Linked DNA regions of Sus scrofa. The protein of the gene in region 1 interacts with the protein of each later gene in a biochemical or structural test. Links are inferred from orthologs where the notes say so. Each region holds a gene or a part of one and is shown in the gene's direction. Other genes may lie near its edges.

The links.
Region 2: the proteins of SNTG1 (region 1) and PLEKHA1 form a complex in vitro, tested with the Homo sapiens proteins (2 studies listed by BioGRID and IntAct, with this or other methods). The link is inferred for Sus scrofa from reciprocal best matches to the Homo sapiens genes SNTG1 and PLEKHA1.

What each region holds. Positions count from the first base shown.
Region 1 is NC_010446.5:78,979,666-78,983,418, reverse strand, and holds the start of SNTG1 (gamma-1-syntrophin), read left to right. Parts: upstream 1-1,302; 5' UTR 1,303-2,456; intron 2,457-2,877; 5' UTR 2,878-3,652; intron 3,653-3,753. UniProt on the Homo sapiens protein: Adapter protein that binds to and probably organizes the subcellular localization of a variety of proteins. May link various receptors to the actin cytoskeleton and the dystrophin glycoprotein complex.
Region 2 is NC_010456.5:131,998,845-132,002,497, forward strand, and holds part of PLEKHA1 (pleckstrin homology domain-containing family A member 1), read left to right. Parts: intron 1-1,096; coding exon 1,097-1,240; intron 1,241-3,082; coding exon 3,083-3,151; intron 3,152-3,653. UniProt on the Homo sapiens protein: Binds specifically to phosphatidylinositol 3,4-diphosphate (PtdIns3,4P2), but not to other phosphoinositides. May recruit other proteins to the plasma membrane.

The sequences.
Region 1 (3,753 bases):
CCTAAATGTTTCACAAGCTAATGTTTTCTAAGATTCCTACACTGTGAAGGGTGGGCTGGGGTGTGTGGGTGCATTTATCCTAGTTCTGTGAACAGATTGAAAGACCCAGTTTAGGGGTTATAGTAACCATCCTAGGGTGCAAAATTTTCTTTTGAAAAATTATGCTTCATATGTCGTATAGTTTTGATGAATTACATTCATATTTTACTACGTTTGTATATTTAAAATAATGATAAAATGAGAATGAAAATTTACTTTAAAAATGAACTTTAAAAAACTGCTTTAAGGGTAGATTTTCCTAAAATACTTCCTGTCCATCACAGTTTATCTGTCCCTTGATTTTATGTACTTCCTTTATAATCATTTGTAGCATCAGATGTTAGACTGCATTTAATTTTCATCTTGTTAATTTCCATAACTGGTTACACAACTTGAGGAAAATTTGGAGTACATTTTGCTTCAAAAAAAAAATCAAACTAATATAATTTTACTGGGACTGACAGTTCAAAGTAATCAACTGTTTCTTTTTTCTCTTCCTGTGGGAGGGGGAGGGTGGAAAGCCTGCATCTCGGTCAACCAGCGCTCAGAGAGGGAATCTGTTCCTCCACGTCTGAATAATCAAGGGCATATGTTGTTAATTAGTCTCATCTTTGTGATCTGCACTTCATTTAAATGCGGTTCTTTCATTTGGTGTGTTTCATTTCTGCAATTATCCTCACTTCTACACGTCCAGAGAAAATAATTTAAGTGATCAATTGCATCAAGCGTTATTACATTCTGCGGAGAAAGGGAATCGACGACTTGTCACATAGTCTTCGCTGGAGGTGGTTTACTACCACCCGCACTTTCTGAAACTTGTTTGTGGAGATGACACAAACGTGTTTGTGCAGATCCAAGAGGCACGTGTTTTGTCTACCCCTGTCCAAGGAAAAGAGAAACTTCATTTACCACAATCCTGAGGCATCCGTCTACGTTCCCCATAAAGCAAAACGCCCGCTTCCACATTCGCCCCAAGTAGCAAAACTCAGAGCAGTTTTGCGTGCCTCCCAGGCCAGGCCGCTCTGGCAGCCGCGGTTTGAGAGGCCCCCCTCGCACTTGTAACCCGAGACCCCGTGCAGAGCTCTGACAGAGTAGGCGACCCGCTCCTTCCCACTACGAGTGCACTTTCCCACGTTCAGCTCTGCCAGCGTGGGCGGCCTGGAGTGTACCCTACCCCGTGCGCCCCCTCCCTCAGCCCCCTTCCCATCCCTCCCCCCGCCCCGCCCCCGGCCTCGCGCATCCCGGGAGTCCCCGCCCTGCGCCAGGCCTGCTCCAGCCAGAGCCCAGGCGGCGGCGACGCTGGGGGCCACCCGGCACGAGGGCGCTGCTGCGGCGGCGAGATGGCTCCAAGTCTGTGGGAAACACGGACTTCTCGGGGCGAATAACGCTCCCGTCTAATTTCCTTTCCCAGGTGATCCGGGCTCGGTCTTGCTTCGCCTGCTGGGAACCGGTGGGAGCCGCGCTGCCCGCCCTCCCCCTCGCAGCGGCGCTTCGGGTCCTGGGAGAGCCCCCAACGCTCGGCGCCAGTCTCTTGGCTCGGATCCCCGGCACCAGCATGGACAGCGCTGCACCCACGACTCCCTCTGCTGTCGAAATCCGAGCAAGAGGCATCTGAGAGCCCGGACCCGCGCCGGCCCCCATCCCAGCGCCCCGGGGAAATTAGTGTTTCGCTCCACCCCCTTCACCCCGCACCCCAGTCGCTGTTACCGAATTACCTCCCAAGTCTCCAGCCACCTCCAGGCGCAGAAACCTGCAGCCACAAGCTCGGTGCCTGGAGAGGTGGGCCGCGGTACGACCCCCCAAGCGCCAACTACGTTTTCTCCCTTCGCGACGCAAAGCCTCGAGGGCCCTCGTGGACACAATTCTGATCAGTTTTCTAACAGTTTCAACCTTGTGCATTTCAGTTGCCCGCCTCACTCCACGCGCGTCTGCGCCGGTTGCCGAATGTGGGTGCCGGAGCTTTCCGTGGCCGCACGGGGACACTCACACAGCCCTTTGCGGTGCGGGGACCAGCGGCTGTGAGAGCAGGTGCGGCCGGCGGAGGTGGGGTCTGGGCGCCGCGGGAGCGCGAGGCCGGTGAGGCCTGGGGCAGCGAGGCGAAGTGGGAGAGAAGCCGCGGAAACCCGGCGGAGGACCGGTGGGCAGCGCGTCGTTCCGGCGTTAAAGGGCGGGGACTGCCGAGTATACCGTGGACTTTATCAGCCCCAGGTCCACCCTTGAGAAATCGGCCTCTTCCCGCCGCCCTCAGGAGCTCGGCCGCCGGCTCTCGCCTGCACGGCCCCGGGAAGGGCCCGCTCCCGGCGCGCTGGGCTGTCTCACCAGGCTCGCGACGCCGACACTCAGGCGACCGGGGTCCGGCCGGATCCCCTCGGCGCCTCGGCCAGTGTTTCCAGGCAATTCAGCGGCGTTTTCACAAGGTAGCAAAGCCGAGGCCCTGTTCTTTCCTGTTTTCTTTCATTCTCCTTATTTAACAGTAACCTGTCCTTTTCGCTTGGAGGGTCTCAGATGAAGCAGCGATCTCTTTGCTGTGTCTAAACTGGGAATTTCAAATGGGCTGCTCAGAATTTGAATGTGCTGCCCTAATCGGTAACCAGGATTGCGGAGTCTTCCAAAATAACCCTTTTCATCTTATGATCTTATGTAATTAGAGACCCAGAGAAGCTCTGGATTTTCCACGGTACCTAATCTATATTTATATTCTCCCCCTCTCCCTCTCTCCCTCTCTCTCTCTCTCTCTCCCTCTCTCCCTCTCCCTCTCCCTCCCCCTCCCCCTCCCCGCTCCCCCGCCTCGTGCGCGTGTGTGCGCGCGCGTGTGCGTGCGTTTCCTTTCATTTCTAGCATTAGGAAACTCGTTCATGGCCACTGAAAAGTGAGGGGCGGCTCAAATCCGATTTCCCACGGATTCCTACCTCCAACGTCAGATAATGTCCGGAAAAGGTACCACCAAATAAGCATGAGAGTATTATTTTGGAGAAACAATTAACCCCTACCCAAATATAAAGCGCCCGAGGAAGGTGAGACCGGAAGACAAGCAAGCCCCGTGCATTCGCTGGTGCGGAAAGTGCGGCGCGGGGCCGGGCCTCGGGTTCGGGCCCCGCACTTCAGCACCGGAGGGGATGGACAGCGTCTCCGGGCTGGGCTGCCGCCCCCGGGTCCGAACTGCGGCGCCGCGGTCCTCGCTGCCGCCGTCACCAAGGGTAGCCCGACTCCGGGCTCCTCGCAGCTAAGAGGCGGCCTTTCCAGATGCCCCCGCGCCCCGCTCGGCTTCGTGACCCACGGAAAGTAACCCTCTTTTACTTGCTATAGCCCCGCGCGGGGCTCTGAGAAGCTCTCCGGTTCCACAGATTAAACTCAGCTGCAACTTCAAGAATCATTTTCCGCGGGGGCCAGAGGAATACCAGGAGGAGAGTGAGGCCGAAGTTCTCAGAGGCTCCAGAAACCATGGGCTCTGCAGTCGGGGTCCGAGTGCTCAAAGGCCCCTGCTTCCCCGAATAAACAGAATGCTCCCGGGAGGATTGCACCTGTTTTGGAAATAGCTTTGTGAGAGGTTCCAGATCTACTCAGAACCTGACGTTAGAGACACGGGAGGAATTCTGAGCCCTTTACTTGACAGGTAAGTGATAATATTATTTCTGCTTGTTTGTAACTCGAATGACTTTTTTCTCTCCCAGGGTTTTAACGGAAAGATTAGAACAGTATTGTTTTTCCTTGTGG
Region 2 (3,653 bases), on another chromosome or scaffold:
TTTATATCATCCTTTAAATGTCAAAACAATAAAAGATGGAGAAGAAATTAGTGCCTGCCCAGGAATTGGGGATGGAGACTCTGTCTATGGATATAGCTCAGGGGAGCCTTACGGTACACACTTCTGTACTTGGTTGAGGTGGTGTTACACAACGCTGGTGATAAAATGCATAGAACAATACATACGCAGAGACAAGTGAATGCACGTAAAACTGCTAAAATGCGAATATGGTTTTTGAAATGTATCAGTGTCCATTTTGATAATGTGTATTATAGTTTCCCTGTTGGGGAAAACTGGTTGAAGGGTACATAGGACTTCCTGCACATTGTTTTGTTGTTGTTGTTGTTGTTTTGTTTGTTTTTTAGGGCCGCATCTGCGGCACATGGAGGTTCCCAGCTAGGGGTCCAGTTGGGCTACAGTTGCCAGGCTGCACCACAGCCACAGTAACATGGGATCCGAGCCGCATCTTCGGCCTACACCACAGCTCATGGCAATGCTGGGTCCTTAACCCACTGAGCAAGGCCAGGGATCAAACCTGCAACCTCATGTTTTGTAGTTGAATTTGTGTCCACTGTGCCATGATGGGAACTCCTGTTTTTGGTTTTTATGTTTTTTTCTTTGCAGTTAGCTAGGAATCTTTTAAATTACTTCAAGCTAAAAAGTTAAGCCCCCCCCATCTATCACCCCCCACCAAAAAAAAAAAATAATAATAATAATAATAAGCCATGAGATCCGCTGAATAGCACAGGGAACTATAGCTAGTCACTTGTGATGGAACGTGATGGAGGGTAATCTGGGTCACTTTGTACAGTAAAAGTTGGCAACACGGTAAATCAACTCTAATGGAAAAATAAAAATCATAAAAGTACAGGTGGCGGGACTTTTGCAGAAAAAGAGAAATAGACATCTGTGGTTTAATTGATGATATTAAAAGTTATGATTAAGTATCTCAAATTAATTAGAAAACTCTTTATTTCAAAATCTGTGTTTCTAAGTGAACTAAGATTTTAAAATTTTCTACCAGGATAACAATATGAACTACACGTATGCTTTAAAGCTAAACAAGCAAGAGTTGAATTTCTTTCCTTCATTTTAGAAAGAAGACGTAAATGAATGTGGTGAAAGTATTGACAGAAATAATCTGAAACGGTCCCAAAGCCATCTTCCTTACTTTCCTCCGAAACCGCCCCCGGATAGTGCAGTTATCAAAGCTGGATATTGTGTAAAACAAGGAGCAGTGGTGAGTAGCTGCATAAAATATGCAAAACAATGAAAAATGAGTACATATTCGCAAACAAATTGTTGAGTGAAGGACCAGCCTGCTGACCAGTCTCTGGTCAGGAGATAGACTAGGGGTTTGTTTATTCTATGTTCAGAACTCACTGCTGTTATTTTCTTGGGCTGTGCTTATTACCGCTAACCTTTTAAATGGGTCTTTCTGACCATTTAAGTTTATTTCAGAAAGTATTTCTCTTGCTTTCTCCCCACTTGGGAGTGGCTCAGGGAAGGGGAGCTCTGGTGCGGAGATGGCAGGAAAGCCGGGGCCTGGGGAGCAGGGTGTAGGAGGATCACTGACTTATGTGGTGCTGGGCTGACCCCAGTTGAAAGGGCTGAGACCTGGGGCTGCTAACTCTCAGGCTCTTGGTTTCTTTTTAAGGAAAATCACATTATAAAACCTACCATCCAGGGGTTTTTTGAAAGATGTAAGAGAGCTCATAGAACAGCACCTGGTCCTTGCTAAGAGCTGTTGGCCCAGATGGCCTCACACGGCCAGATCCATGGTTGGGAATTGTGAGAAGAGCAGGTACATTTCCCAGGATTTTTAAGTTTCCAAAGTACCTTTCTAAAATCGGAACTAAATCTATAATTTTTTTTTTTTTCTTTTGTGGCCACTCTTGTGGCACATGGAAGTCCCCAGGCTAGGGGTCGAATCATAGCTACACCTGCCAGCCTACATCACAGCCACAGCAACTGCAGGATCCAAGCCATGTCTTCGACCTACACCACAACTCACGGCAACGCCACATCCTTAACCCACTGAGCGAGGCCAGGGATTGAACCTGCGTCCTCATGAATCCTAGTTGGGTTCATTACTGCTGAGCCATGACAGGAACTCCTAAATCCATAGACTTGGATGAGAAAATAAGCTTCAAATTTGAAAATAAAATTTAAAAAAATTTCTGTGAGTGAAGAAATACTTAAATGTCTCCTGGCAGTTCTAGTTGACTTCACGTCACTTCTGGCAACTCTTATTAGCCTAGGTCAGCCAAAGGAGAGTTCTTTCAGCCCAAATTGTCTGACCCTCTTTAGGCTAAGGGAGGTGAGCTTGAGGGCTGAAGGTTTTTCATTCTAGCATGTCTGTGGGTAAAGTCAGTATTCTCATTAGGCTGTGTGTTAATTAAGGCTTTTAAGGAGACGTTTCTTACTACTTGGTAGTATTATAAAGTACCTGTAGAAGGATTCATGCATTTTACAGACAAAGAAGCTTGATGTGGTTTAATATTTCCTGTCCTTGCTCTTGAACTAGCCCCCCCCCACATCTCCCACTTTTTTTTTTTGTCCACCCCACAGCATATGGAGTTCCTGGGCCAGGGATCAGATAGATCTGAGCTGCAGTTGCTACCTACACCACAGCTGTGGCCACACCGGATTCTTTCACCCACTGTGCCAGAACTTCATCCTGGCACCACAGAGATGCTGCTGATCCTGAGCCACAGCAGGAACTCAGCTCTTGAACCCTTGATAGCATTTACTTTGTAAGCAGGGGGATAGAGATGAGGGGGAAGTGTTTTTATTTTATTTTATTGTTAACGTTTAGAGCATCAGAAAATATAAGACCATGTTATAAAATCATAAAACAAGAACTTTCTGAAAGCCAGCCACCACCAAAGTTGAATTGGGAGTTCAAGGCCTGAGTAGCCAGAGAGACGAAGTGTCCTCTGTCTCCTCACTGAGGGAGGGTAATGACGTTTTCCAGTGCTTGACGTTTCTGATTGTGGGTTCATATTAGAATAACTGAGTGGTTATTAACATTTGACACTTTTAGAAACAGAAGTCTTATGTCTGTGTTCATCTCTAATAGATGAAAAACTGGAAGAGAAGATATTTTCAATTGGATGAAAACACAATAGGCTACTTCAAATCTGAACTGGTATGTTGCTGTGTCATAAATGTTGCTTAAAAATTAAAAAAAATTTTTTTTATTTATTATTTTATCTTTTTAGGGCCATACCCTGATAGTTCCTGGGCTAGGGGTCAAATCAGGGCTACAGCTGCCAGCCTGCACCACAGCCACAGCAACGCCAGATCTGAGCCACATCCGCAGCCTATGCCACAGCTTGTGGCAATGCCTGATCCTTAATCCACTGAGCGAGGCCAGGATTGAGCCTGCGTCCTAACTGATACTAGTCAGTTTCTTAACCCACTGAGCCACAATGGGAACTCCAAAAATGTTTTATAAATATTACACTATGGTGATTATATAATTTCTTGTCCTGTTTTCTGTTTTTTAAATGATTAAATTCCAGTTTTGAGAGGTACATACAATTCAGTTGATTTTGTTGTGATGCTTTGGTTAATGTTATTTTTGTGAAGAACATCTTAAATAAAACGCTCTTCTCTTCAGAGGCATTCTGGCCTGGAAGAATTAAAAA